7 linked regions of the Rattus norvegicus genome follow. The protein of the gene in region 2 interacts with the protein of the main gene of each other region in a pairwise test. Links are inferred from orthologs where the notes say so. Each region holds a gene or a part of one and is shown on either strand. Other genes may lie near its edges. The genes, in order: Gse1, C5h1orf94, Rbfox1, Gcc1, Mapk1ip1l, Hnrnpf and Banp.

Evidence for each region.
Region 1: the proteins of C5h1orf94 (region 2) and Gse1 interact in binary tests that used the Homo sapiens proteins (3 or more experiments, as listed by UniProt). The link is inferred for Rattus norvegicus from reciprocal best matches to the Homo sapiens genes C1orf94 and GSE1.
Region 3: the proteins of C5h1orf94 (region 2) and Rbfox1 interact in binary tests that used the Homo sapiens proteins (3 or more experiments, as listed by UniProt). The link is inferred for Rattus norvegicus from reciprocal best matches to the Homo sapiens genes C1orf94 and RBFOX1.
Region 4: the proteins of C5h1orf94 (region 2) and Gcc1 interact in binary tests that used the Homo sapiens proteins (3 or more experiments, as listed by UniProt). The two-hybrid records come from large-scale screens. The link is inferred for Rattus norvegicus from reciprocal best matches to the Homo sapiens genes C1orf94 and GCC1.
Region 5: the proteins of C5h1orf94 (region 2) and Mapk1ip1l interact in binary tests that used the Homo sapiens proteins (3 or more experiments, as listed by UniProt). The two-hybrid records come from large-scale screens. The link is inferred for Rattus norvegicus from reciprocal best matches to the Homo sapiens genes C1orf94 and MAPK1IP1L.
Region 6: the proteins of C5h1orf94 (region 2) and Hnrnpf interact in binary tests that used the Homo sapiens proteins (3 or more experiments, as listed by UniProt). The two-hybrid records come from large-scale screens. The link is inferred for Rattus norvegicus from reciprocal best matches to the Homo sapiens genes C1orf94 and HNRNPF.
Region 7: the proteins of C5h1orf94 (region 2) and Banp interact in binary tests that used the Homo sapiens proteins (3 or more experiments, as listed by UniProt). The two-hybrid records come from large-scale screens. The link is inferred for Rattus norvegicus from reciprocal best matches to the Homo sapiens genes C1orf94 and BANP.

What each region holds. Positions count from the first base shown.
Region 1 is NC_086037.1:65,529,160-65,532,659, forward strand, and holds part of Gse1 (Gse1 coiled-coil protein), read left to right. Parts: intron 1-287; coding exon 288-400; intron 401-606; coding exon 607-877; intron 878-2,085; coding exon 2,086-2,202; intron 2,203-2,816; coding exon 2,817-3,188; intron 3,189-3,500.
Region 2 is NC_086023.1:145,586,295-145,589,794, reverse strand, and holds part of C5h1orf94 (uncharacterized protein C1orf94 homolog), read left to right. Parts: coding exon 1-302; intron 303-3,500.
Region 3 is NC_086028.1:8,996,592-9,000,891, reverse strand, and holds the start of Rbfox1 (RNA binding protein fox-1 homolog 1), read left to right. Parts: upstream 1-1,500; 5' UTR 1,501-1,729; coding exon 1,730-1,816; intron 1,817-4,300. UniProt on the Homo sapiens protein: RNA-binding protein that regulates alternative splicing events by binding to 5'-UGCAUGU-3' elements. Regulates alternative splicing of tissue-specific exons and of differentially spliced exons during erythropoiesis.
Region 4 is NC_086022.1:57,999,386-58,003,685, forward strand, and holds the start of Gcc1 (GRIP and coiled-coil domain-containing protein 1), read right to left. Parts: upstream 2,801-4,300; 5' UTR 2,404-2,800; coding exon 1,372-2,403; intron 379-1,371; coding exon 1-378. UniProt on the Homo sapiens protein: Probably involved in maintaining Golgi structure.
Region 5 is NC_086033.1:23,023,559-23,027,567, forward strand, and holds the start of Mapk1ip1l (MAPK-interacting and spindle-stabilizing protein-like), read left to right. Parts: upstream 1-1,209; 5' UTR 1,210-1,343; intron 1,344-2,887; exon of another isoform or gene 2,888-2,986; intron 2,987-4,009.
Region 6 is NC_086022.1:152,767,538-152,771,528, forward strand, and holds the start of Hnrnpf (heterogeneous nuclear ribonucleoprotein F), read left to right. Parts: upstream 1-1,191; 5' UTR 1,192-1,445; intron 1,446-2,926; 5' UTR 2,927-2,987; exon of another isoform or gene 2,988-3,991.
Region 7 is NC_086037.1:66,950,961-66,954,460, forward strand, and holds part of Banp (protein BANP), read left to right. Parts: intron 1-809; coding exon 810-926; intron 927-2,386; coding exon 2,387-2,562; intron 2,563-3,500. UniProt on the Homo sapiens protein: Controls V(D)J recombination during T-cell development by repressing T-cell receptor (TCR) beta enhancer function. Binds to scaffold/matrix attachment region beta (S/MARbeta), an ATC-rich DNA sequence located upstream of the TCR beta enhancer.

The sequences.
Region 1 (3,500 bases), on a different chromosome or scaffold from region 2:
CTGCCTTCCCATGAGGCTTACCAAGCAATGGACATCAGGCCTTTGTCAGGAATGCTCTGCCCTGCGCCTAGGGAGCATCCCGAGTTTGAGTCTTGCCTGAGTCTTGCCGCCCTCGGCTCACTGCAGGTGTCCACGCAGATGGGAAGAAACCAGGCCCTCTTAGCAAGGGTCCTCACAGGTGCCAGCAGGCCCAGCCCAGTGGCCTCACTCCCATGCCCCCAGGTGCACGTGTCCATGGAGCATCCTGGGTTCTGAGCCTGGCTCAGTGCACCCATTTCTGCCATCAGGGTACTACTATGACCTCGATGACTCTTACGATGAGAGCGATGAGGAAGAGGTCAGGGCACACCTCCGCTGTGTGGCTGAGCAGCCACCCCTCAAACTGGACACGTCCTCTGAGGTAACAAGTCGACTCTGGCATGTTCTGGGGCTGGCTGGGTAGTGGGTCCCCGCTTTGGGCCTACCTCTTGGCTTCCAAACCCTGCAGGCCATTACCTCTATGGCCTAGCTCCAAATCAGACTGCATGGGCCACGGGACCCCTGGGGCTGTGAAAGCAGTGTGGAGGGCAGTGGCTTCACACTCGATTGTTTTCTTTCCCAATCTAGAAGCTAGAGTTCTTGCAACTTTTTGGCTTGACCACCCAACAGCAGAAGGAGGAGCTGGTGGCTCAGAAGCGCCGGAAGCGGAGGCGAATGCTGAGAGAGAGAAGCCCGTCGCCACCTGCCATTCAGTGCAAGCGACAGACGCCTTCTCCCAGACTGGCTCTGTCCACCCGCTACAGCCCGGATGAGATGAACAACAGCCCTAACTTTGAGGAGAAGAGGAAGTTCCTGACCTTCTTCAACCTGACGCACATCAGTGCAGAGAAGAGGAAAGGTATGGCCTTGCTCTGGCCTGCACACGTAGAACAGGGTGCTCCTGGGTAGCCTGAGCTACAGAGCTGTCCTCTCAGCTCTGATAGGCTTCTGTCCCTTGGTGTTTCTGGCACATGTCTTGTTTGACTGTGAAGGCTGATTGATGTGCCTGTATGTTTCAGAGTGTGTCCAGGACTTCTCCCTGGGACGGAGCGGGTGTGCTCAGGATTCACATCCCCAGGCCCTGCCTCTTGGGTTGGACAGTGATCTCTACTGAGCACTGTTTCTGATGCTGACAGGCCTGGAGAGTGAGCTCGTGGGTGAGCCAACCCCACATCATAAGCACAACTTGCTTACCTACCCAAAAAGATGTTTCCAGATCAGTGTGGTACCCTAGGGCCATGTGGGAGAAGAGACTTGGGACTGGAATTCACAGTATGGAAGACGTGGCATGGCCAAGGCATGCCGAGGCTACCTTGATCGGCTCATCACCGTCCCGGGCTGAGGTGTTGATGTACGGCCATGCTCCTGTGTGCCTCATGCCCCTTAAGGGCACTGGCCCCTTCTGGAAGACTCCCGGGAACACAGTGCCTCCAGCTCTTCAGTTGGTTTGACAAGCTTCTTTATTGGTGGTGGCAGTTTCCTTTTCCTTTTTAACAAGCATGGTGGAGGTCTCACTTTCCGAGCAAGGGTTAGAGACGGGCTGACTGCCAGCACATGCCCCTGGACTCGTGCCTAGTTGTTTGCAAGCCTGGTTTTTCACCTGGCTTTGTGTCTAAAGGACGCCATCGGCACCGAAGCCTCTTAAGTTTCAGAGTTGGCAGGAAGAGCCACAGAGACGGGGATCTGCGGTATGGGACACTTGTCGGGTCTGCACGCCTTCGAGGGAAATGGCTGTGACCCTAGGCAGAGAGCACACTCCCTCCCTGGTCTCTGCTCTTGTATCAGGGCCATCCTTGGTCTTCAGATCAGGATACCTGCTGAGAAGGAAGTCACCATGGAAACCTCCAGGCAGCCACTGCTCCTGACTGCAAATGTGGCTGTCCCGGAGCCCAGCAGGGACAGCCAGCTGCTGTCACCTGCTTCTTCCTGTCTGTCTGCACAGCTGGCCGTGGTGCTTGCTTTTGGTGCCTTTTGGTGTGAAGGGCTTGTACCCGCCAGTCACGGTGGCCAGACCCCACCTTCCTCCCCTCTCAAAGTGCTGCTAACCTGGGACTGCTTTCCTCACAGACAAAGAGAGGCTTGTTGAAATGCTCCGTGCCATGAAGCAGAGGGCACTGTCCGCAGCAGTAGCAGACTCAGTGGCAACAAACTCTTCGAGGGACAGTCCTACCATCTCCCTGAGTGGTAAGGGAAGGACACCCCACCCACCAGCGTCCTGTAACTTGGGGAGGTGTCGCTCGAAGTCTTGTCTTCGTGGTGAACATGAGTACTGGACGCGGGGCTTCTCTCCATCCTGGTTGAGCCGAACCTTAGGACACAGTGGGCGAGAAGCGCAGGGGAAGGCACTGACTTCCATCAGCTGCAGGCTGTAGCCGTCACTTCCCAAGAGGACGGGTCCAAAGCCCGCTGAATGCCGTACCTGGGCTCTCCAGACTGTCTCCAGCACCTACTTTCTCCCTGCTTCTCTGCTGCTCTCCAGCTGAAGAAAGCTGAATCCTTGGGGTCCAGCCTCTTGCTAGCTCATGTCTTCACCTGCTTTCTCTGATTTGGATGAAGTTTCTCCTACCTTCTCAGCGTTTCCTGCTCTCTCTCCCCACCTTTCCCTTTGGGAACTGTTTACGGTCAGACTTGCTGCTAACCTGGCCTCTCCTCACCTAAACTCTAACCTCGTGCACACTGTTAACGTAGGGTACAGATACTGGGTCTGTAAGTGTACGCTCTAGAGATCAGATCGGTAGTGTCTGCACGCCTGTTTTTCCACAGTTCATAATGTTCCCCTCATTTTCTATCTCTCAAAGAACCAGCCACACAGCCAGCTCCTTTAGAGACGGATCAGCCTGCCGGGGTCCCTGCCTCCTTGTCAGATGTCCCAAAGGCCGTGGAGACCGGAAGACTGGAACAGCTCCGGCCCCAGGAGCTCTTGAGAGTCCAGGAGCCAGCTCCTCCCAGCGGTGAGAAGGCCAGGCTGAGCGAGGCCCCTGGGGGCAAGAAGAACCTGAGCATGCTTCATTACCTCCGGGGCGCTGCGCCCAAGGACATTCCTGTGCCGTTGTCCCACAGCATCAACGGGAAGAGCAAGCCTTGGGAGCCCTTCATGGCCGAAGAGTTTGCACATCAATTCCACGAGTCCGTACTGCAGTCCACACAGAAGGCTCTGCAGAAGCATAAAGGTAACAGGCCACGTGTCCCGTGTCACCTGTTAGTGCTGGGCAGCACAGGCCATTTACACAGTGACAGTGCCTCTTAACCCTTAATGCCCATGAAGCACTTGGGGAGGGGAGAGACGAGCCTCTGTCGCTTTCAGACTTGTAGCATGACCTCTGATGTACCTGCTCAAGAACCACACGCTTGGACAGTTAGCAAATGACAGTTCAGTGAGGTCAAAGCAAGTGTCCTCTGTGCATGTAGGGCCACAGCTGTGGCCTTCCCAGCATCCATGCGGGTTCACTTGGAGATCTGGTTCTTTGCCAAGATACTGTGTG
Region 2 (3,500 bases):
CAGCAAGCTCCTGGCTCAGTTCCCACTGAAGTCAACTGAAATGTCCAAGGCCCCAGACAACAAGATGGTGCTGGAAGAGACCAAGGTCATTAAGGACTTCCTGCAGAATAGCATGTTCAATGGCTCCGGACCCCGGGAGTCCATGGGGCTGGGCCCATTCCTGCTGCTGCCACCCCCACCTCCTCCCGCAGTCCCCGACAAACTCCCCGAGTTCTCTCCTCCGAAGAGGCAGCTCCCAGTGTTTGCCAAGATCTGCTCCAAGACTGAGGCTGACCCAGCTCTTGAGGGCCACCACTGGATTGGTGAGTGGGGCTGAGAACAGGAAAGTGAGGGGGTTTTCAAGGAAGAGAGCCTTGATCAGGAAGCTGATCAAGGCCATGGTGTGTCTTTGTGCAAAGCAAAAACAATGCAGCCTCTCTGGTTGTGTGTGTATGTGTGTGCGCCTAAGTGGTATATGGATGTTCATGTGTGGATAGATACACACACGTATATGTCTAGAGGCCAGAAGTAATGTCAGGTGACTTCCTCTGCACCTCTCCATATTCTTCACACACACACACACACACACACACACACACACATTTCTGTCTTCAGACATATCAGAAGAGGAAGTCAAATCCCATTACAGATAGTTGAGCCACCATGTGGTTGCTGGGAATTGAACTCAGGACCTCTGGAAGAGCAGTCAGTGCTCTTAACCACTGAGCCATTTCTCCAGCCCCCCTCCGTCTTATTTCTTAAGATAGGTAGGGTCTTATACTCACCAAACATGAAGCCCACCAATTCAGCCAGAGTGGCTGGCTCGGCAACTCCAGGGATGCTGACTCTGTCCCCAGCACTAGGATTACACACATGTGTTTCCGCACCCAGCTTTGTATACAGATGTGGGAAATCCAAACTCAGGTTCTCAGGCTGGTGTGAGAAGCATTTCACTAAGTCAGCCATCTTTCCACACCCTGCAAGACACATAATTTCTGATTTCATTAGGTACCCAGAGCATACTGGAGGATTTATTTACCTTATCAGGAAAGAGCCCAGCCTTGAGTCTAGGCTTGGAGAGAAAATTGATTGGCATATGGGGGTCACTTACCTTTTTATGGAGACACCCATCCTGGTCATCAGGACTGCTCCACCCTCCGTAGGGCATAAGTTCAAACTGTTGGTCCTGGGATTTGTTCTCTGAAGCTCTAGAACCTTAGAGAAGCATATTTTTAGCTCTTGAATAGGAACTCTGGTCATCCCAAGGAACTCATCCCCCTCTGGTGCTCCCTGCCCATCTCTGGGACTCCACATTGTGCATGTTCAGACTGGATTGCAGAGCCATCTGCCCACAGTCGCCAGTCTCTAGAAGAATAGATTATACTTGCGCCAACCAAGAGAAAGGTCACCCCCAGGCTGTAGTGTGATGCTTAACTGACAGTGCCTGTCTAGGGAGGGCTCACAGCCCTGAGAAACAGGAACAAGGTCACCTTCCCAAGTATTCTATATTCTGGAGCAGTGGAGGGACCCCGGGAAATCAGAGCTGAGGTGACAAGCTGGACATAGTACTCAGCAAACCTGGAGGAGTCACAAGGCTTTGGGATGATGGCAAAGGATGGAGGAGGCTTGAGCCCTCCCCGAGAGGGAGAGAAACACTTGCCCTCTCCTTCCAGAGGGGAACCTTCATGTTCCTCGATGAAGGGACTGCAGAACAGAGGTATCTTCTCCACTTGCCCTCCCCACACTCAGAGAGTGCCTTGTGTACAAACCCGCGGGCTAGGTGTGCCAGAGAAATCTTTGTTCAGGGTGAGCATACTCATTAGAGAAAGCACAGGGTGTAGAGCTGAGGGTGCCTGTGTGTGTGTGTGTGTGTGTGTGTGTGTGTGTGTGTGTGTGTGTGTGTGTGTTGGTAAGTGTGCTTGTCCTGAGTATGTCTGTATAGTTATGAGGCAAAGGGAAGACAGACAAATGAGGAGAGAGAGAGGTGGGGATGGGAGAGGGGGAAGAGAGGGGAGAGGGGGAGGAGAGAGAGGGGGAGAAAGAGAGAAAGGGGAGAGAGAGGGGAGAGGGGGGAGAGAGGAGAGAGGGGAGAGAGGGGAAATAGAGGGGAGAGAGGGGAGAGAGGGGGGAGAAAGAGAGAAAGGAGAGAGAGAAAGGGGAGAGAGAGGGGAGAGAGGGGAGAGAGGGGGAGAAAGAGAGAAAGGGGAGAGAGAGAGGGGAGAGAGGGGAGAGAGGGGAGAGAGAGAGGAGAGAGGGGAGAGAGGGGGGAGAGAAAGAGGGGAGAGAAGAGAGGGGGGAGAGAAAGAGGAGAGAAAGGGGAGGGGGGGACAGGGAGGCCGAGAGGCCAAGAGGCTGAGAGAGAGGCAGAGGCAGAGGTAGACAGAAAGACAGAGGGAGAGGGAAAGGGACAGAGAGTTCCCAGATGCCAGAGGGGTCTTGCAGATGTTGTAGCTGTGTGAGTGGCTGCAAATATGCTGGTCTCTGGGGAAAATGACTATTATTAGTGGCTATATTACTTCAGCGCTCTAGCTGGGGGCTAAACTCAGCAACCAGAGGAACTGCTGGAAGAGACTCTGGGGACATGCTCTGCTAAAAATGTCCCTGGCTGGAGCAGTGCTTCCCCTTTTTTGGGGGGGGGCAGGGAAGGTAGGGCCCAGGCCCATGCAGAGGCCCCGAGGGCTTGCTGGGTTGGGCTGGGCTATAGAGGAATTCATGATATGGTGGAATCACGTCCATTACCATCGGTAACGCTGAAGCACAGGCCCTCCCGATCTGACTGTTACTAGAGTTCCCAGGTGCTTCCACTGTGTCCAGAGCAGCTCATAGCCATCCACCTGCAGGCAGACTTCTCAGCCAAGCTCTGTCGAGGTGTTCAGAGACAGCCAGTCTGAGGAAGGAGTGAGGGGGTAGAGAGGCCAAAGTCCACTTTCTGCTTCTAACAGATAAATGCCTTAATAGTAATTATGTAACACTTGCGAGTACATGTATATAACATACAATTTATGTGTACACACATTTATCAAGCTGTCTCTATTTCTTGGTTCCAGGAACCCCTCAAATACCCATTCAAAGATGCTCAAGAGCCTTATACACAGTAGCACACAGCTCCCTCCCTCCCTCCTACACTCTGTACATAATCTATGGATCACCACTGGTGCCTAATCCAATGTAAATGCTGTGTAAACAGTGGTTACACCATTGGTTAGGGAACAATGACAAGTAACTCCGTATGCGTTCAGTGAGGGCACAATTCTGCCTTGAGTGTTTCGCATCCATTGTCCCACACACGGAGACACTCCAGTTTTGAAGAAAGGCTGCAACACTGAAGGGAAATATCTCTGCTGACATGTCAGGTGTATTTGCAATAAGACCTGAGTCTGGCACCCACTGAGTCCTTCCGTTGGGTGACTCCAGTCACTTAGGATGAGTCACCTTGTTCCTTTGATGCTCCTGCCATTTGTTTGTGATTGTCCAGGCCAGTGACATCTTTCTGATAGCCCCCAATGAGAGTCTTGCTAAGC
Region 3 (4,300 bases), on a different chromosome or scaffold from region 2:
GATTAACTCCCTCTATTGCACACTGCAAGGAGGTGACGAGATATTCTGACATTGTTACATGCCCAAATAGATCTGGAGTCTACGAGGCAAATGAAGTTGCTCGAGACGGTAGAGCTAGGAAAGGGACACCCCAGCTTTCACTTTGCATACTCCTCAACACCTTTCATCTCTGAAAGCGAGGGTGGTGGGAGGGAATTCATCTTTGTTTAATATATAGCAGATTCATGTATCACAGCTGGGACACACATGTAAAAGCCATGTGAAATCCCTTCACACATGAACACAGCACCAGCAAGTCTGCACCTACTCTGTGGCCCCCAAGATAGCTAACACATTTCTAGATCACAAGTCACAGTGCAATCCAGCAAGACAACTAGGGATTGTGTATGAGGTATTTTAAATTCAGCACTGCCTCCTACTGGCTGCAAAGTGGCTGACTAGCGTGCGTTCGGGTTCCTCATGGTTACTTGGCTTCCTGGGTCCGGGATTAGCCCCTGCTTCAGAGATGTGGAAGGACTGAGTGCAATAACCCACAAAACTAATTTACTCAGACTTCTGCTATTATTTCCTTTTAGCTATGAATTGCCTCTTCAAACTGAAATCGAGTGAAAAAAGGGGAGGAAAGTGAGTCAAATATTTTGAGACAGTTTCGTGTAGCCCAAGCTCGCCTAAAACTTGCTATACAGCTGAGCTCCCGATTTTCCTATACCCACCTCTGAGTTCCAGGACCACTGAGATTTGCTACCACATACTGATTATTCTTAGGTAATTTTTGATCAGCTGCCCACATGAACCTGCTACCTTTGAGTGGGTTTTTTGCTGTCATTTTTCTTGTTGTTGTTCTTGTTTCTTTGTTTGGTTTGGTTTTTGTACATAACTGTGGGGGGATGAGTATAAGAATGAAAATGTATGTGCAATGTCGAAGGGTGATCTCCAGGTATCTTCCTTTATTGCTTTTTACTTACGTAAAGAGAGGGTCTTTCACTGAACCACTGAATGTGGAACTTTCTGTTCGGCTATGCTGGCTCACAGGTGAGACCCAGGATCCTCCTGTCTCCGTCTTCCCAGTGCTGGGAATACACGTGTATGCCACATTGCTTGACTTCATACACGGGCATTGGAGATCCAAACTTGGGTCCTCATACATATATGATAGTCCATAAGTTTACATAACAATCAGTTGCAATTTAGAACTTAAACTTAGGCTCCGGTGATGGTTTATATAGGTAAAGATTTAAGTTTTCTAAGTTGAAATTGATTGTCCTGTAAGCTTACACATTTCTATTCATTATTCTCTCTAAAAATCTCATGTAGACCCAGCCCCTTGCAATTTGGCCCAGTTCCTCAGGACAAATGTCTTTTCTTTTTCCCTGATTCCCTGTCACTCCATCTCCCTCGGTCTGAGAACTAAATTAATGAAGAGTATTTGGTTAGTCATGTTGGGCGAGCTGCTCCCAAAATAGCTCCTTCCATTTTGGTAGCTCCGACCCTGCAGCTGCCGCGTCCCTTCCTTGTCTGTGAAGAAAACTTTCACATTAAGAGTTGCTGATGCAGGATTTTCTTTCCTTTCCCCTCTCCGCCGCCTGTGGATGAGCACTTGGCTCCTGACAGAAGCGATTTGGCTCTCGGCTTTGTAGTTGAGAAGAAGTTGGGTCTATAGATTTCTTTCCCCCTCTAACTCTCTATTGATGTGTTCAGCCTTGGAGGGAATAAAGCCTCCATTTAAAGCATGTTGGCGTCGCAAGGAGTCCTTCTGCATTCTTATGGCGTGCCTATGGTTGTGCCTGCTGCCCCCTTCTTCCCGGGACTGATGCAGGTAATTCATGGCTTTTGCCAGCAAGCAACTTAACTCCAGAGTGCTCTGAGTAATAATTGGAATTTTTATGGTTGAGAAAGCAAACACTTTTAATACAGGAAGAGAAAAAAGGCAGCCCTCGTGTAGTCAAAGGAAAGACAGTAGGAAATCAAAAAGATGGATCACCTTAATCTGGCTATTGACATCTCTCATGGATGAATAAATGGTGTAGTTGAGCTGTATTTGCTTGTATTGATCTGGGTGCTGTTTAACATTCATGCCTCTGCTTCGGGAGGTTGACCAGGGGGCAAAAGATTTGCTCTCTTCCCCAGCTTTCTGAGGGACTGGGTCTCCCAGAGCAGATCATGAGGCTCAGTAACTTATCATGTTGTGGCTTGCTTAAAGGCTTTAACCCCGGAAACCGAAGGGCAGGAACTACAGTGCTACGGAGGACACCCCACACAGGTTGTCTGTTTGCAGAGAGGCTCCCCCTTCTGAATCTGAGAGGTGACCCACAAACAAGAGAGAACATTGAGAATGGTTTCTTTAGGAAGTTCAGGGGTGACTCTGGAAACCCCATGCCAACTGTTCTCGGCAGCCAGGGAGAAGTTGGAATGCCTGTTGTTTTGACTGCTAAGGCTATTATTCTGTGTGCCGAGAGGTTCATGTGCTAGCGAGAAATTGGGACCTGTTTCTTTGCCTTATTGTACCGCCGTGCTGTCACTCAAACCCGTTGCTTCTGGGTGTATGCCTGCAGTTCTCTGGAAAGCCGACATCCACTTGTGATAGAAGTGGGTCATTGTAGGAAGCAAGTGGCTATTTGTTGCTGTTCTTTGGAAATAACCAGCCCTGGGTAATAAATTCTAAATCTCCTTTCTGTGGGAAAGGAAAATTAAATATATGCAGGACACTTTAGCTTCTGTCCTGTCGTACTACCCCTACCCAACACTCTCTGTTTGAGAGTTCTACAAGACCAATTCATTAATGACGACTTCTGCGGAGGATCCCAAACAAATATTCTTCTTGTTCTGTGACTGTGACTGTGACTGTGACTGTGACTGTGACTGTGACTGTGACTGTGACTGTGACTTTTTATTAACTGTCAGAAGCTGGGTGGTGGAATCTATCCAGCAGTTAGTCCAGACAACACCAGAACTGCCATTGACCCTGGATGTATGCTATTGCTACACTTCTATATTATAGGTAAATAGGCCAGGCAGAGAATAGTCCTGACAACAAGGAAAAGAATTTGTGGCCAGATGGTGACATGAGACTTGGGACGTGAGGGTGAAGCAGAGTTACAGTGCTTTTTGCTTCTGTTGGAAATTTGGGGTGAAGGTCAAAGGCTGGAGTTTTGTCGGCCCCTGTGCTGCCCTATCCGATAAATAATTACAAGCAAATCGCTCATTTCACTCCATGCTGATTGATGCTGAAATTGCTTTTGAAAGTTCTCATAAGTTCCTGTTATAGATTAAGTGCTGGTGCAGGAGAATAACGGTACCCACCGAAATGGGTGAATGTAATCAGGTTTAATGGACTCGAGAGCTTGTTGGGAATTAAATAACTATCGATTTGCTGGGATGTTTCTGTCATTACAAAATGCCACTCTGAACGTATTACCCCAATGATAGATGAGAAGACGCCAGAGCCAACAGAGAAGCTGGGAAGGCACTATTTCTTCCTCTTTGGCAGAATGTTCGAGAAACATAACTGGTTAGTTTGGAATGGAACAAGTTATTTTACTTGCAAATGTTAACCTGATCCATTCTCATTTGTTTCCCAAATGAAAACTTCTGAACTAGTGACCTACAAGCTCTTCTGAGTGTGTCAGTGAGGAGCCTCTGATGAGCTACTGGGACCCACTCCACTGCAAGGCTGTGCACATGGAGGTGCTAGCCGTCTTGCTGTTTGTGGAGGCCACACCACTTGACTCGAAGAAACTACAACACCTCCCATTGCAGTTCTGTTCATAAGAAAAGGATGTGGTGTGATAGAAAGGGGTAGGAAAGCCTAGCTCTCCTTTCACCTTCCACTTCCTGCCCTAGCTACCTTGGCACTTAGCCTTAGGGAGTTTCACCCAAGTCAAGAATAAAGACCCTTCTGCCAGGATTCAAATTTCTTTAGAAACTTAGTAATGTCAGCAAGACAACTAAACTACCGGGAGTGTGGACTCGTCCTTGCTACGACCCCTTGTGCTTGTATATTTGGGAACAGCATCAGTGGTTATGTGCAGGGGCCTCTGGCAAGCTGCTTGAGGTACTGTTCACAATTTTACAGTCTTCCCAAACACAACAGTCAACAGTTCTGTGGCCAAAGATATTCTGTTTTGAATTGATATCTGAGACACTTTTGAAATGTGGGCCGGCATGGCTCATTTTTTGTGCAGTTAAAGAAAAAATAATTTGCATCTTTAAGTTTTAAGAGAGCACCAGACTCATGCTGCAGTCAGTGCTTACAGATGCACATTTAGTTAGGTCCCTCTCATGGACTCTTCTTTAAAGTCAG
Region 4 (4,300 bases), on a different chromosome or scaffold from region 2:
AGCCTCTGAGTTGGCCATTATATCAGGGTCACAGAGCTTCTCTACATCCAGGGTCACCTGGCTTTTCCTAGCTGCAACCTGCAGGAGCCTCTTGAGCTTCTCCATCTTGTCCTTCAAGACATTGATATCCAGACTGGATTCGTCTCCATGGATGTCAAGAGAGGGCCGGCTGGAGGCTGCAAGGGCCAGTGTCTTGTTCTCCAAGTCCAACTGTAAAATTCGATCCTTCAACTTCTGGATGGCCAGCTGGTCTTTCTGCTTGGCTTTCTCATAGGTGCCCAGCAGTTCAGACACCTCAGAGATCTGGTTCTCCAGGGCTGCTACCCTTTGCTCCTCTACCTGAGACTGCTGGCGAAGCTGGTCCTCTGCAAGGGCTGTCTGCAAAGCAAAGAACAGGTGACAAGGCGTCCAGGAAAGTCACAAAACCCTACAGTCAACCGGATATGGGGGAGCAAGACAGAAGTGAACAGGGCTTGGGATGACCCAGAACAAGCGGGATTTATAATTGAAACTCCTTTGTATATGTGCTGTTTCTACCACAGTTTCCCACTTTTCACTAAGCTTGAATACAAAATGTGTTCCTTCCTGTTAGTCCCGCACCTTCCGAATCATTTAAAGAAGCCGCATAACATTCTTTCCCTTTCCCAACATTCCTGGAAACTGAAAACCAACCTGGATCCCTCTCTCCATTGAAAGGGAACACTGCAAAAACAGTTTTAGTTCTAAAACAGGCAAACCTCAACCGAGCGCATACACGAGACGCTTCTCCCAGGAAAACCCCCTTTGCTTCCTTCCTACCTATAAGCACACACTTCTCAGGACACACACAATCTTTCCCTAAATAGCTGTCACTATACTGCCTCAAACAGCCCACACTGGTAAGATGCCAACACCCAGAGGCCTAGATAGAGCTGTTTGGCTTGAACCCAGAAATACTCAGAAACTCCTCATCCTGTTAAAAGGACACCACACAAAACAAGATTTCCTAGGACTCACTAGTGGACTTTCTCACTTGACATCAAATATCAGTGTGCATATCAGGAAGGTGGAACCGACCACAATCCCAGCACTCACCCACTAACAAGCATCAGGCATTCCTTGACTAGAACAAAACCCTGTTCTAAGTAGAGAAGAGGGTGCCTTTAATACTAGCACTTGGTACGGAAAAGCAGGCAGATCTCTATGAGGGCAGACTTGGTTACATGAGAAGACCCTGCCTCATGAAACACACACACACACACACACACACACACACACACGCACAGGAGCGTGCACATATACGACAGTTATCTAATGACCAAAAGAGAAAAATGATACTAATATTTCCTATGGAAGTTAAAATAACTGTTTGAAGGACATAAAAATAATTACCTTCCTCATTTCTTGCTGCAACTGGGCCTGGAAATGGCTTTTAAGACGGGCAGCCTCCTGCTGAAGCTCCTGCAGCCGGGGATCTGGTCGGTTCTTCTCCTCTCGAATGGCTTGCAGCTCACCTTTCAGCTCCTCTACCTCACGGGTCAGCTGCTTGGTCTGCAGTTCAAACCCTTCTAGCTGATCAGCTGCATACGCCCGCCCTGCCAAGGCTTCCCTGGTCTCTTCTAGCCGAAGTTCCAGGTCCTGGCGTTGGGTCCTCTCCTCCTGCAAAAGCTTCTGTAGCTCCCGCAGCATCAAGGCATGGTCACTCTGCTCCTGGGCGCGATCGTGCTGCTGTGTAATAAGTCGGGCTTTGGTTTCTGCTATCTGCTCTTGCAGCCCCTTCAAGTCTCCCTCCAGGCGGCCCCGCTCTTCCTCTGCCTTTTTATTGGCATCTTCTAAGTCCTGCTTCATCTTCTTCTTATCCGCCAGGTAAGACGCTTCCATTCGGGACTTTTCCTGAGTGACTGTAGCCAAGGAGCTAGTCAAAGTGGCCAATTGAGTCTTCAGCTGATGCACTCTTTTGTCTATCTCACTACCCGCAGATGGCCCATCCCCACTGCTACTGCTAACGCCACTCTCTGACCCACTGGCCTCTTCAGACTTTGGAGGAAGTGGTCCACGGGCCACTCTGTCATCTTCAACCCCAAATTCACCCTTGACACTTGTAAGACTGGCTGCGGTATCCAAGCTCGTGGCAGTTCCGGTGCTATCCTCACTGTGAGTGGAGCACCGGTCATCCACAGAATCAGGAAACGTGAGACCCGGAGGCTGCACACCTGAGAGGCCTGCATCTGCCTCGTGGGATACCGACAGTACCTTGATGCTGGCCTCCAGGGCTTCTTTCTCCTTCAGCAGGCTTTTATAGGCGCGAACCACATCCTTGAGCCTTGCCTGGTACTGGAGAAGCTGCTTTTTCTGTGTCTCTATGGTCTCTAAGAGATCCTTCTTGCTTGGGCCGCCCCCGAAATTCATCCCAAACTTCTCCATGAGGGTTCCGGAGTGGGATGCTCCACGTCAGCGTTCTTGCAGCCCTGGACAGAGCCACAACAGCTAGAAGTAAAGCAGAGAGAATCGTCTGGCTGCAGGCAATACACCCGGTCGTCCAGCGGTCCGGGCGGGATGAGGGGCCGCGGTGGCCAGGCAAAAGCACTGTGAGAGCCAGGCCGAAGGTGGGAAACAGTTCCAACCTGGATGCGGAGTGACGCTGGCCTAGCAGGAACACTCAGCCAGGGCTCTCCGGTACAGGCCCTGATCCTGTGCCGCCCTAGCTGCTCGCCTGGCCACCGCAACCTAGACCCGCCTCCCTCCGCCCACGATCAGCCCAGGATTTACACTAAGACCGGTTCCATCACGATTTCCCAACAACTGGGACAACAACGCTTCCGGGTCCACTGGAAGTGACGACAGCAAAACGCCACAGACCCCGCCCCCGGCGGGCATGAGATGGGTGGGGCTTCCGCACCCAGTATTCGCTGGTGGCCTGGAGAGAGAGTAACCTGTAGGTATAGTTACCCAAAGCGAAGTCAAGATCACCTGAGCAGTTGTTTGGAGAAGATGCCTAACTTTGCCCTCAAACTACCACCAGTGAGCGACAGGGGGCGACGTCACACTGCATTTGCCCCCCCCCCAAAAAAAAAAAAACGATGAAAGACGCATCAAACTATTTGGGGCAATTTCCAACATTTAGGGCAACAGTTAGGACTCATACTAGGAAAACGAGCCCAGTACCTAGTTAACATAATAGCTCCCTTGTTTAGTTCTGCTTAGTAAGAGGGACATTATATAGCTATAAGGTCCATCTTGCATACCAGCATATGCTGGGGTGGGGGCTGTCTCACAAGAGTTTTTGCTATTTAGTCTTTGCAAAATTCTGTTCAGAGGGTATCATTAGCACCAATTTACATTTACTGGAACATACAGTAAATGTACAGAGGGGTAACATGCCCAATGTCACTCAGCTAGTAAGTTTAGGAATCCTATCTCAGTCTGCCTCTCACCATACTAAATGCTATGCCTGATGGCACCATTGAAGAAACATGGCCTTGGTCCCGAGAAACTCCTAACAGCAAGGACATGCAAACAAGTAGATGCTGCCCTCACACTAGTATAGTATGTAAGGGTATAGTTGAAGGGTATAAAAGAGGCGAGGCACCTGTCAGAAGGACAGAGACTCTTAGGGGAAATGACTTGAAGTTTGAGGAATGAGTAAAGACTGCCAAACTGCAAATGTGGGAAACCAGCATCAAGAAAAGCGGAAACGTTTACAGGAACCTCTGAGGTATCTATCAGTGAGCCTGACTTGCCCAGGAAGCTTATGGTGTGGGAGGTGGGTGGCTATTGATGAATCTGGAACAAAGGGTAGGACCCAACTTAAAGGCATTTAGATTTCATCTTGGGTGACAAGACATTAAAAGATTTTCATCTCCGGAGGGCACCATCAAGACTCTTTGCTTTTGTCCATTCCATCAAGACTCCTGTGGGGTTTTTAAGATGGTTCAGCAGTAAAGACGATTTTCACCAGGCCCAGTGACCTGACCTAAGTTCTATCACCAGGACCCACACGGTGGAAGGAGAGAACACACCCCTACAAGTTGTTCTCTGAGCTCTACACACCTCCACACACGAACACAACATAAAAGTGGGGAGGGGCTAAAAACAAAGAAGACTCCTGTGATATTATGAAGATACCAAGCCTGTGAGGAGGCTCACTCTGAAAGAGAGAGAGAGAGAGAGAGAGAGAGAGAGAGAGAGAGAACGCGTTTGAAGAAAATATTTCTGTAATAAAAATCTGCTCAGGAGGCCAAGCCGGCCGCATCTCTGTGAGTTCGTGACCAGGTTGGTCTACATAGCAAGTTCCAGACCACCCAAGGCTACATAGTGTTTC
Region 5 (4,009 bases), on a different chromosome or scaffold from region 2:
AACTCTAGTTCTGCATATTCGGGCTCTGACAATGAGTAATCTTTATGAAACTCTAGTTCTACACTGACATACATCGAAATATCAAATCAAAAGTCTAGGAAGGAAAAAACTAGAAAGTTTATGTATATGCTCAGACTTTGCTTTTCAGTATGTCAGTTTTGAGTCTCCCAGAAACAGAAGCCAGTCGCAAAAACCAACAACCCTCATCTTAAAGCATTGGTAATGCTGTGACCCTTTAATACTGTTCCTCATGTTGTGGTGACCCCCAACCATAAAAATTAGTTCATGGCCACTCCATAACTTTTTGCTACTGTTTTGAATAATATAAATATCTGATATTCAACCCCTGTGAAAGAGTCGACTCCCAAAGGGTTCATGACCTACAGGTTAAGAACCACTGTTTTCAATTTAAAACTTAAAGGGGAATAAGAGATAGCTTATTCTGGAGCCATTTTGAATGAGGATGACCCCAGAACACACATTTGAGTTACCTCAAATTCTATGTCCCAACCTGAAACCAGTATCAGGACGTTTTTAGCTTTACAGAACAGAGAATGCCATAAACCAAGCAGTTTAAAACACACTGGCGGGTACATTGGAGGATAGATACATCAAGATAGAGGTAGCTTTTCTGTAGATCTAAGACACTATCCGATGACATTCTTGGCTTTTGGATTATCAGAAGCTAGTTGCCTGTTAATAGATTCTAAAAGTTTTTAATCCTTTTGCCACAAGATGTTCGTTTTGACGCGCAGTTGACTGTTCTGGAGGGCTAGCACTAGCCCAAGAAAAGGTAATCGACCTCTGCACCTGCAACATTCCAATCTCTCCACAGTACTGAAATTCTAATTGGCCACTCGGTTTCTGCAGACAGCTTCTTCAAAGGTTTTCATTCTCAAGACCTTTAGAAAGACTTCCCTTTTCCCTCATCTCTTTACCCTCGATTTTAGCTGGACTACTGACAGTCAGCTTGGAGCCTGTCTGCAAAAACCGCTGAACATAGGGAATCCAAAATGCGCTCGCAGCCCCTGGGATGCGGCGAGCATCACCAGCCTAGGGCTTGTCCCATTCCCGCGCTCCACACGGAGGAAACAGTCCAGGCCCCAGCAGCCACGCGGCCCTGCCTGCAGTCCCATGGGCAGCCCGCTGGAGGCGCAGTGCAGCTGGGCGGGGCGGGCGGAAATAACGGGCGGCGGGGCCAGCCTCCCTGCTTCCTTTTCCGGTGCCGGGAGGAGCCGTGTCGGTGCCGCCTCGGTCCATCAGGCCTCCTGCGGTTCTCCATTGCCCGTCTCTCTGGATTCACCGTCGCCACTGTGCCGCGCCTAGGACTCGGATCCTGCCGGGTGAGTCCGCTCGGGCGCTTGCGGTGGGGCGCGAGGCTTGGGGGGAGATGATGCGAAGACGCGGGGTCCCCGGGGGCCTGGAGGCTCTAGAGCTTTCGATGGGGAGGATCCACCGGGGACCAGGCGACCTAGAGGTCTAATGTCGCTCCTGTCGGGTTCCGGGGCGCCCACATCATGCCAGACTTGGGGGGTAGGGCGGGAGCGGGCGACCCTCCCCCACATCCCGCCGGCGTGACCGGCCTGGGGCTGGTTCGCTCCGGTTGATCCCGGATTCCCTTTGTTCCCTTAACCCTAAAGGGCAGCTTGTTTGGCACCCCTTCCACCAATATCCTAGTCACTAATTTCTAATAAAAAACGGCAGTGGAGGGGAGACCCTTACGGGGAGGTCTGGCGCCTGATAATTCTGTGTGACAGGATTCTTGCTGTTCGTAATTACCCATTCGTTAAATGACTACCCGGGACAGAAGATGCCATGGGCTGAGTGACGTTTTCCTTTTGAAGGATCTGGGCTCAGCTAGAACGCTTGAACCATTTTTTTTTTTCCCTCCCTGCCTTGAAAACCGAAAGTAATGTCTTCACTAATCCTGAAGTTGAAGTATCAAAACCAGGCCCCACCGTAGATATGTTACAGCCTACTTCACAGAAATACACACGTGTTGGGCCCCTCCATCCCCCATGTGTTAAAGGCCTGTTCTGAAGCCAAACCCTCATTACCGAGTCGCCTTCAGAAGTCTTTGTTAGTGGGTCTCCTTGGGTGGGGAGGAGGGCAGTTTTCTCATTCGTGGAGTATAGGAGCCATTCTCTAAAACAATTTGCTTCAAAAACTTTTTAATGCAGTTGCAGAAGTTAGAATGTTCCTTTTTTGATTACAGAAGGAATCGGTGCCCAGCTTCTTTCTCCTAACTGAGAGGTTGAGCCTTTGGGGCCAGTAAGCTTAGGAATTCAGCAGTGTTCAGATTCTGTGATTGTTAGTATAGAGGGGCAGTAACAGCCATAGACTCGGGGACTGTTAATCAGTTATTAGTATTTGTACAGGGTGGGCCTGGAGTTAGGTGATAAAGCGCCAGCCTGGCTTGCTACAAGGTCCTAAATTCCCAAAACTTTAGGGGATGAAAAAATGCAAATATCGTAAATATTCAGACTACAGCTGGGGGTGAGTGGAAAACGAAATGGATAAATAATGTCTGGTCAGCTTTTGCCACCAAATAAATACTTAGGAGATTGTATATTTTTTAAAGTTTTCTGCTTTGAAAATAGACAAAGGTTTGGGGCCATGTTGTATCGGTTTTAAAAGCTAATCTTTGTTGAGTTTTTTGCTCAGTGTCAGGCAGTGACTTAAAAGATTTATTTATAGATTTCTATAAGGCTCAGCAAATCTGTGGAAAAATACCCATTTACTCTTACGTATAAGACTCAGAGACCTGGATTTGACGGTAGGCCAGACAGGCAGTCTACTCTGGTAGTCTTTTTGTTCTATGTGTATGAGTGAGAAAGAGGAGCTGGAGAGAGATGGCTCAGGTTGAAAGCCATCGCTGTCCTTGCAGAGGACTGGAGTTCTGTCCCAGCATTCACATGAGGCAGCTCACAGCTTCCTAACTCCAGGGAATTCAGCGCCTCTAGCCTTCTTGGGAACCTGCATGGAGGTGAGCAAACCCATGTATACCTTTTTAAAATGTTAAAAATCACAAGAGGAGAGAATTGGGTATTTGTTGCTCATTCCGTCTTCCAGTTTTAGTTGGGTCAGATGCAGCCCTGTGTGGTTCCACGAATCACCGCCTACTCTAACTTTATGAAGAAACTGAAGTTGACTCGGTCAAGTGAGCTAAAGTATTAGGACTCTTGTCCAAAGCCCTCTGCTAAAACTTCTTACTGCTTTCTGGTATTCCAGCCAACCCGAACTGCTTCTGCTTTTCCACAGACTGTTCTCTCTGGTTTTATACAAACTGATCTTACCCTGGAGCCTGTCTTTAACCTTCTACTCTTACTTTTATTCCAATCTACAGAGACACCACTTCTCAAGAATGCCCATGCCATGCCACCAATTACTCTAAAGCCCAGCAGGATTGGAACTTGTGTTCCAGTGAGTCGGAATAAATTATAAGAGCTTCTACTGTGAACTTTAGGTGTTCAAAAACATTCCAAACTTTTTTAGGTACCCAGTTATAAAATGGAATATAATCTGGTAAATTACCCAGTACTAAATGCTAACAATTCTAATCAGAATCTGCTTTCAATATAATATATGCTAATGTAGTACTCAAAATTAACCTTTAAGCCCCACCCATCCAAGGACCCAGTAACTTCCTGGAATGCTAAGAGTAGTTCTTGGGAAATAATAAAGCCTTGTGGGAAAGAATGGTGCCAGTGAGTTTTGTCCATAAAAACCCCTACAACATGTGTCTCCAGGCCACTGAGCTGGAAGTTCTAGGAAGTGTTCCTGACCAAAGCCCATCGCTTGGTCAGTATTTAATACCTAATAAAGCTTCCTTCAAATTTGGCCCAAAATAGTGTGATTGGTTTTTCGCTGGTGAATCTCAGAATTAACACTATCACACTCACCCATACAAAAATCACAAAAGTCCTGATTTTCCTTAGTTTCTCTGAATTGCTTGCCAATTATCATCAATAACCCAATGGATTTTTAGCTTTCTTAAACTTTGAGGATG
Region 6 (3,991 bases), on a different chromosome or scaffold from region 2:
TTTCAGAGGCCAATTGCTTTGAATTAAGATTTGTGGTTGCCTGTTGGGTGTAGATTTTATAAGGTTCATTTTTTAAAATATTTATTTAACGTATATGAGTACATTGTAGCTGTCTTGAGATACACCAGAATCTGTTAGAAATGGTTGTGAGCCACCGCGTGGTTGCTGGGAATTGAACTCAGTGCTCTTAACTGCTGAGCCATCTCTCCAGCCCCTATAAGGTTCATTTTTATACATATGGGCCAACTTAGGTTTAAAAGTCAAGCACTCCTTCCACTACGGCGATACTAGGGATCCAAACCTAGTCAGCCTCTAGGGCTCTGAGGGAACTCGAGTAGTCCCGGCAGGTCTCGAAATCAGCTTGGCTCTGCCTCCAGAGTGATGGTATTAAAAAAATGTATGTACCATACCGGTCATTAGTTTATGTAAAAAAATTTGAGACAAGGCTAAATGATGGGATTAAAGGCGTGCCGCCACCAAGTCGAGTCGGGAGTTTTTAAAAGTTAGGTTATCGTGGAGTCGGCGGGCAAATGAAAAAAGTGTAGAGTGTCTGCAGGTTTCCATTCTGTACTCCGAGTTGATTTGGTTTTACTTGGCTGAGTCTGTCAACGCTTCGTTGCATTCGCCTTTCCAACTGTAGCGGGTAGTCTGTACTTTGCTCAGGTGGCTCCTTTACCCAGAACTCAGCGAGGAGTCTTCCCCTTTCCTTTCCCTCCTTCCCCCACTTCCGGCGCCGGCCAAACCCACCGTTCGCGGGCCACACCTGCAGGCACGCTTTTCTCATTGGTGACATATTGGCGGGCCCGGCAGGGCACTTCCTCCTCTACACCCCGTGACCCGAGTCCGACTGCCGCTGTAGATCACGCGGCTGCTGCTTCCCGGACTCCGGACTCGAACGCCCGTCTCGGCGTGGTGAGCCCCGCTTCCCGCCCGAGCCCCAGGTTACCGGCTGCGTACTTGACCTGCTCACCTTAGAAGTTTCCCTCTTCGAGCTTTTCCACGCTTCGGCCTGCGCGAGTTCTTACTCCAGCCCTCTTCCCCGCCCTCTGGATCTTCCCCTCCCCCACCCTCCGAGGCTCAGGAGCCTCCCTTCCCCCCGCCCCCGCCCGGAAGCTCCCGCCCGAGCCCGCGCAAGCCCCGGGGCGGACCTTCCTGCCCGGCCGGCGCTCGCTGCGCGGCGCGGTCGACTACCGGGCGAAGGCCGCGGAGCAGCGTCACCTTGCCCTCCGCCCTGCTTCCCGCCAAAACGCTCGTCTCAAGGGGCTCCGCTTCCGCAAAAGCGTTTCCCCTGGTCATTTGAACTTCCATTTCAGGTTGAGAACAAAAAGAAGATGCACCTGGACTTTCCCCGGAGCCCTCTGCGTTTTTAAGGCGTCGGGTGGAGTTGGGGTTCGTAAGCCGCGTTCGTTATTGAAAATAGAAGTCACTTCTACCTTCCTCCCGTGGTAAGTTTCAGAGCAGAAAAAGGCAGCAGCTTTGAAGCCGCGGCTCTCCTGGTCTTAAGAGTAGAACTTTCTGAGTAAGAAAACCTGCCTGGATGCGCTCCCGGCGTTCCGGAGGTTAAAACTCATTTACAAAATGGAGGGAGGATGAGGGCGGGCTCCCAATGAAAACTCCGGCGACTTCCTGGAACACAAAGATGCATAGAGGAGGGTGCAGCAAGGCTCCCACCAAGCGGGCCTGAACAAAAGAACTAGGTGGGTGGCGCTTGAGCCGCCCTGTTTGTTCAGCCGATAAACTTAACTAGTCCAGGATTCAGAGGGCGCACCTCTTTTATCTTACCTGGATCTACCTGAAGGCAGTGAAAATCCAGTTTAACCAGTATCACTGACTGGGTAGCTTGTTAGAAAAAAGTCTCAGCCTGTTTGTTTATTTTAATAGTGCATTTTCTTTAGTGTTTAACTTGTGGAAATGTAGGCCTAGCCTGGCTATAGTATAGGAGTCAGTCGCCCAAAATGATGCAAATGGTTTCAGTAGCGTGTCTTGCAATTAAAATCAAATGTCTGGGTGTTCTAACAGTACTTACAAAGACCCGCCATGCCATCTTCTCTTTTACTGGGCATGTCTCCACAGTTCACATGTTCACGGGTCTCGTGCCAGTGGCTTAATGTAGGTCTAGCTGCTAGCTGCATGCAGTATAGTGTCTCCAGGGAGGCCCACAGGTATTGTCTACCACACTAGAAGTAAAAGGTTGGAAAAAGGGGATCGAGTCATTAGAATTTCATGGACAGGAATATGGTTGAAACTCATTAAAGTGAAGCCCTGTTTCAGGGTCTTTGAAACTATTTTCAAAATGGGTTTTTAGCACCGACACCCCAATATCTTGCATAATTTTGGAAAATGAGACAATGCAACTGCAGTTACCCCTATTTTAAGACAACAGGCAGAATAGCCTACCACATTTCCAAAACGAAGAATGCAGCATAATTTGTCATAGGATTCAACCCCTTTCCTCACCATTTGGGAGAAGCTTTGTCACATAGGTTATGATAAAGCAAAAGGCATTGGAGACCCTTCCCCACCTCCAGCATGGAGAAGATAAATAACAGGAGTGTTTTTTCATTTCCAGAGGAAATTCATGCTGGCCTGGATGCCTATGCTACTGAAAGGGTTGGAAGTCTTGGCATAAAGTGCCCACTAGATCCCTGCTCTATTTAAATTTTAAGTTTCTCCTACATTTAAACTAAGCTTAAATTAGTTCTGCTAAGTTGTTTGCTGATGTCCTCTACCCATGAAAAGATGAAATATAAATAACCAGGAAACCTAAATATGTTGGTCCTAGGGCTACAATGTATTTCTGGATTTGAGAAAGAAACTTAGCTTGCTCTGAGCCTAGCTCCCAGGAGGTCCCCTTCTGTACGATGATGAATGGAATCTGAGGCCACGAGACCAATCTTGGGTTTTGTGTTTGTTTTTATTTTTTAAGGAAAACTTGTTATCTTCCATTCTGTGTTTCCTACAGAAGGCATCTGTGGTGGTTCTTTAAGGTAAGCTACTAAAAGATACATTTAACTGTAAGACGATTAATTTGTTAAGCAAAGTTTAGTTTTCTTTGAAGAACTGTCAGTTTTAAATGCTTGGTGAGTTTACAGTTAAGTCAAACTAAAGAACTATGAACTTCTTGGGGGGGTGAGTAAAAGCAAGCTGTAGGTGTTGGTTGACATGTTACAGAAAAGAATGCTTTCTTCCCCTGTTGCTGAAACTGCTTATAAAGTACTTGTTCCTTATGCTTCTTACATGTTTTTAGCTTTGACTAAGCTGCTATACTCTGAAGGAAGGTGTTGACCCTAGGTGGACAGTAAATCCCTAGCTAATCCTTGACCTGCTGTGGTCTGTTCCCTCTGCTAAGGATGAAGTATTGGACAACAAAATTGTCCTAAGTAGGGTCCCAGTGTAGTTTTGAAGACCTTTTAAAACTACAGAGAAGGTTGTTATGAAAGTAGAAAGTCAGACTTATTGTGGGACGTGAGAAGATGTTATTGGAATGGTAGTTGCGCTTAGATAACCCAGAGGATTATCAAGGTTTAGCTGGACAAGGTTGGGCAGAGGATATTTGGGTGGAGAATTATTTGATGTGTCAAATCCTCCAGGGAACAGTGGGGAAATTAAAGGAACTAAGGAGTAAAAAAGAATGATGGATATAGATTAAGAATGTCTGTAGGATCCAAGGATTCTTTTAGTTCAGTCTCTGTTCTAATAACCAATGGGAAATAGGGCTTAGAAGTGGGGCATTGACATAATTGGGTTACAGTTGTTAGATAAATCTTAAGATTGTGATAGAGTAGCAGGGAGTGTAAGTGTTTTCATTAGAGTTAAGAGACGCTAGGAATATAGGAGTCAGGAATTTTGAACGAGTCCCTGTGGCAACACAAGGCTGCAATTCCATCTACCAGGAGGTGGTGAGGCAAAAGGTCTTAAGTTTATTATTATGGTCAGCCTAAGCAACTAGACACACAGTTGAATCATTTAAAAGTGGCTCAGAGGATTTATG
Region 7 (3,500 bases), on a different chromosome or scaffold from region 2:
CTCTCCTAGAATTTCTCCTCAAACCCAGGCCCCAAGACCTTTTGTTTCGGTTCTGTGCTCCTCAGAGGGCTGCGGGTGGTGTGTGAGCATGTTTCCCGCTGCTGCCCGTGGGTTGGTTGGCTGCCCAACTCTAGAGGTCAGATGTGGAGTGACGTGAGGAAGGCAGCTGCGAGACCAACCTGCCGGATCAGAGTTTTGGAGGGATGCGTTGGAAAGAGGCTGGGGAGCTGGTTCAGTGGGTAAGCTCATGCTTCTGCAAGCTTGAAGATGTGAGTTTAAGTCCTTAACATGCATGGAAAAATCCAGGCCATATCTTGTAGGCTCAGCACTGGGGACTTGGGACAGGGAGATCCCAGGCTGACTTAGCAGCCTAGCTGAGTGGACTAGGTTTCTATTCAGTGGTAGACCCTGTTTGAAAAGAGTAAGGCAGAGAGCAGTGGAAGAAAACTCCCAGTACCTGCTCTGCACTCCGCACACAGCTCACATGTATGCGGTGCACATAGGTGCCCTGCGCACACACATCACACATACACACACACACACGGGGAAATGAAGAGGAACCTGTTTTCATGAAACCTGTTGCTGAGATGGCTCGCGGATGCACAGCCCACCCTGCCCACATTTGTGTCAACCAAGAATACCAACCAGCAGGAAGCTGGAGAGCCTTGTCTCCAGTTTAGTTGTTCTGCACTGGACCCCATTCTCTGGTGTTGGCCCAGGAGCTGACCGTGTTGAATGATTCATGTGCTCTGACAATGACTGTTGTTGTTTTAAGGTCTTCTTTTTCTTGTGATTCTTTTGTTTCATAGCGTCGTCCCCCAGACTACAGTAATACTCAACAATGATCGGCAGAACGCCATTGTAGCCAAGATGGAAGACCCATTGAGCAACAGGGCACCGGATTCCCTGGAAAATATCATTAGCAAGTCAGTAGCCATCACCACCCACCTTCCCTGCCACTGTCCTGAGGCTAAGTGAGCGTTCCTGAGCCAGGGTCAGTCTGAGCACATGTCCATGTCTGCAGTCATAGGGCCCATTCTGTTAGCAACCACCATAGCTTTTAGGTCAGGAAGGGCCAACTTGGTGCTTAGCAATGGTGGGGTGAGACAGTGCAAGGGTGGGCAGCCGTGAGGACCGCTGGGCTGGATCTGGTATGTGAAGAGGCTAGATATGGCCTGTGGTCCGCTGAGCACTCCCATCTGTCTGTCCTGCAGTTGAGCCTCTTCTGAGTCTGGTAAATGACACACTTGTGTTGACGTTGTGACTTTTTCCTCATCCCTGTCTTTTGAGATGTGTTGAATGGACCTTCCGTCAGTCAGAAATGAAAGGGCACAGCAGCCATGCCCTGCGGGGCCTCTGCCCCTGGCTCTGGCTCTGTGCCTCAGGAAAGCTTGGTCACCTTTTGATTACCAGCAGTGTTCTCACAGATTCCTGCCTTCCTTTTTTTCTCTGTGGGGTGTGACTCCTTCCAGCTTTGTCTGGCTTCTTGTCCTGGCCCAGGTCTCTAGGAAACTGGAGGCCTGGGGTTGCTGTGACTGTGCTGAGTGGGGTGCTGGAGGCCTGCCACTCTGTTGGGGAGAGGACGCGCCTCCTGGCCCACTCTGAGGTCGTGGGTGTGGAGTGTCGAGGAGCCAGTTCACTGTGGGTAGCTCAGAGGGGTCAAGTTCAGGAAGGACCTCCTGCCTCTGGGGATGACCAGAGTTTTAAGGCCCCTTTGACTTTGCTGATGGGAACTTGGGCTTTGTTTCCTCTGTGGTGTGTAGGAGGCCATGGTCCAAAACGTTGACAGAATCATTCAGAAAACAAATCAATCTTGGGTCTTTTTTGAGCACTTTCTGCTGCTAGCTGTTTGGCTGCTGCTTTACTTCAGGGCCCTGCACCAAGAATGGCTCCCAGAGGACTCCTGACATTCTTGATGGCCTTGGAAGTTGCTTCTAGGGTTTTGTCTGTGGGAGTCAGAGGGAGTGTGGAGGTGTTTTGGAGGCCGAGTCATCTTGGGTGTCTGACAGCATGGATGATGGATGGATGGGGACTCTGATACACGGTGACCATTGTGCATGTGAGGATGGCCTCTAAGGTCTGAAAGCCAGATTCTAGGCTGAGTCTCAGTGAGTTATGGTTTTATTTCTTTTGTGCTGTTCATTTTTACGCAGTTGCTTTATATTCTTCGTCTTCTTGGTCTCAGGCTGTTGGTGTGCTATGTTGCTGCTCATCTCCATGGAGGGTGTGTGTGGGGACATACCGCATGTTGGGGACCCACCTTGTGCATTGGTCCATGCTCAGCTAGACAATGGGATAAGTCTACATAACAGTGGGAGTCAGGGCTATCTCAGTGTACCACTCATGTCCTCTCACAGCCTGGGCTGCTGTGTTTGTTTCCCGCCAGCGCTGTTCCTGGGCGTCGGCAGAATACCATCGTGGTGAAGGTGCCTGGTCAGGACGACAGTCACAATGAAGATGGAGAGAGTGGATCAGAGGCCAGTGACTCCGTGTCTAACTGCGGCCAGCCAGGAAGTCAGAACATTGGAAGCAACGTCACACTTATCACCCTGAACTCTGAAGGTGCGTTCGCCATAGTTGCACCTTTGTGCTCTTCTTTTGGAAGGGGCTGTGCTTGCTGTTGATAAGAAATGACACAGTGACAAAAAAGTTTAAGCAGCTGAAGTCCTACCGTGACTGCCAGCACCTGTGCCTCTCTCCTGTGACCATGCCTTTTTCGTGTTACTGACATGTCTGCTGTGGAGATGCCTTCTTGGATGCTCTGCTTCCTGAGGAGGAAGAGCTTCCATAAGCACGAACCAGTCACCTCTGCTCACAGTCCCTGGCATTCCTCTGTTGGTTGCCAGGCTTAGGGAGTACAGTCTCCTTGGGCTGGGCTGAGATCTGCAAGTAGCCAGGGAGAGCAAGTGTGGGGTCTGCCTTCCCTAGACTCCTCCCATGATTTCTTGGGGGCCCCCATGGGGTAGGGGCAGGCTCTTCCCTGAAAAGTCTGAAGTACCTCCTTGCTTCTAACTGACAGTAATGTTGAGAGAAAGGAAGGAAGGAACTCTGACAGACTAAGCTCTGTGTGCAAATCCTACCCATCGACTTTGTTTACCTGTGAGCCTTGGGAGGCTTTTGTTTCCTTATCTAAATGATTGGTTTTTCCTATAAGCACAAAATTTTGCTCTTAGGTATGTGCTGTATCTGAAATACTAGAAATAATGTCTGACTAAATTGCAGTGTTGGGGTCGAAGCTCGCTACCACACACTTGATGGTACACGTCACAGCGCACATTCTAGCGCTTGCTAAGGCTTAGGTTGTTGTTCCCAAAGCTCGTGTGCTCAGAGCGTGACCACAGCCCTGCCTCTGGGGTGGCCTAGGAGAGGAGTGGGCCACAGAGGTGGGTCCTAAAGAGGAGTGGGTGGGATCTAGCCCCCGTGTGGCCCTTCCTTTTGTGTCTTAGCTCCCATGGAGTAGGGAGCAGCCTCCGCTGCCACAGTCTTCCTCCATGATGGTG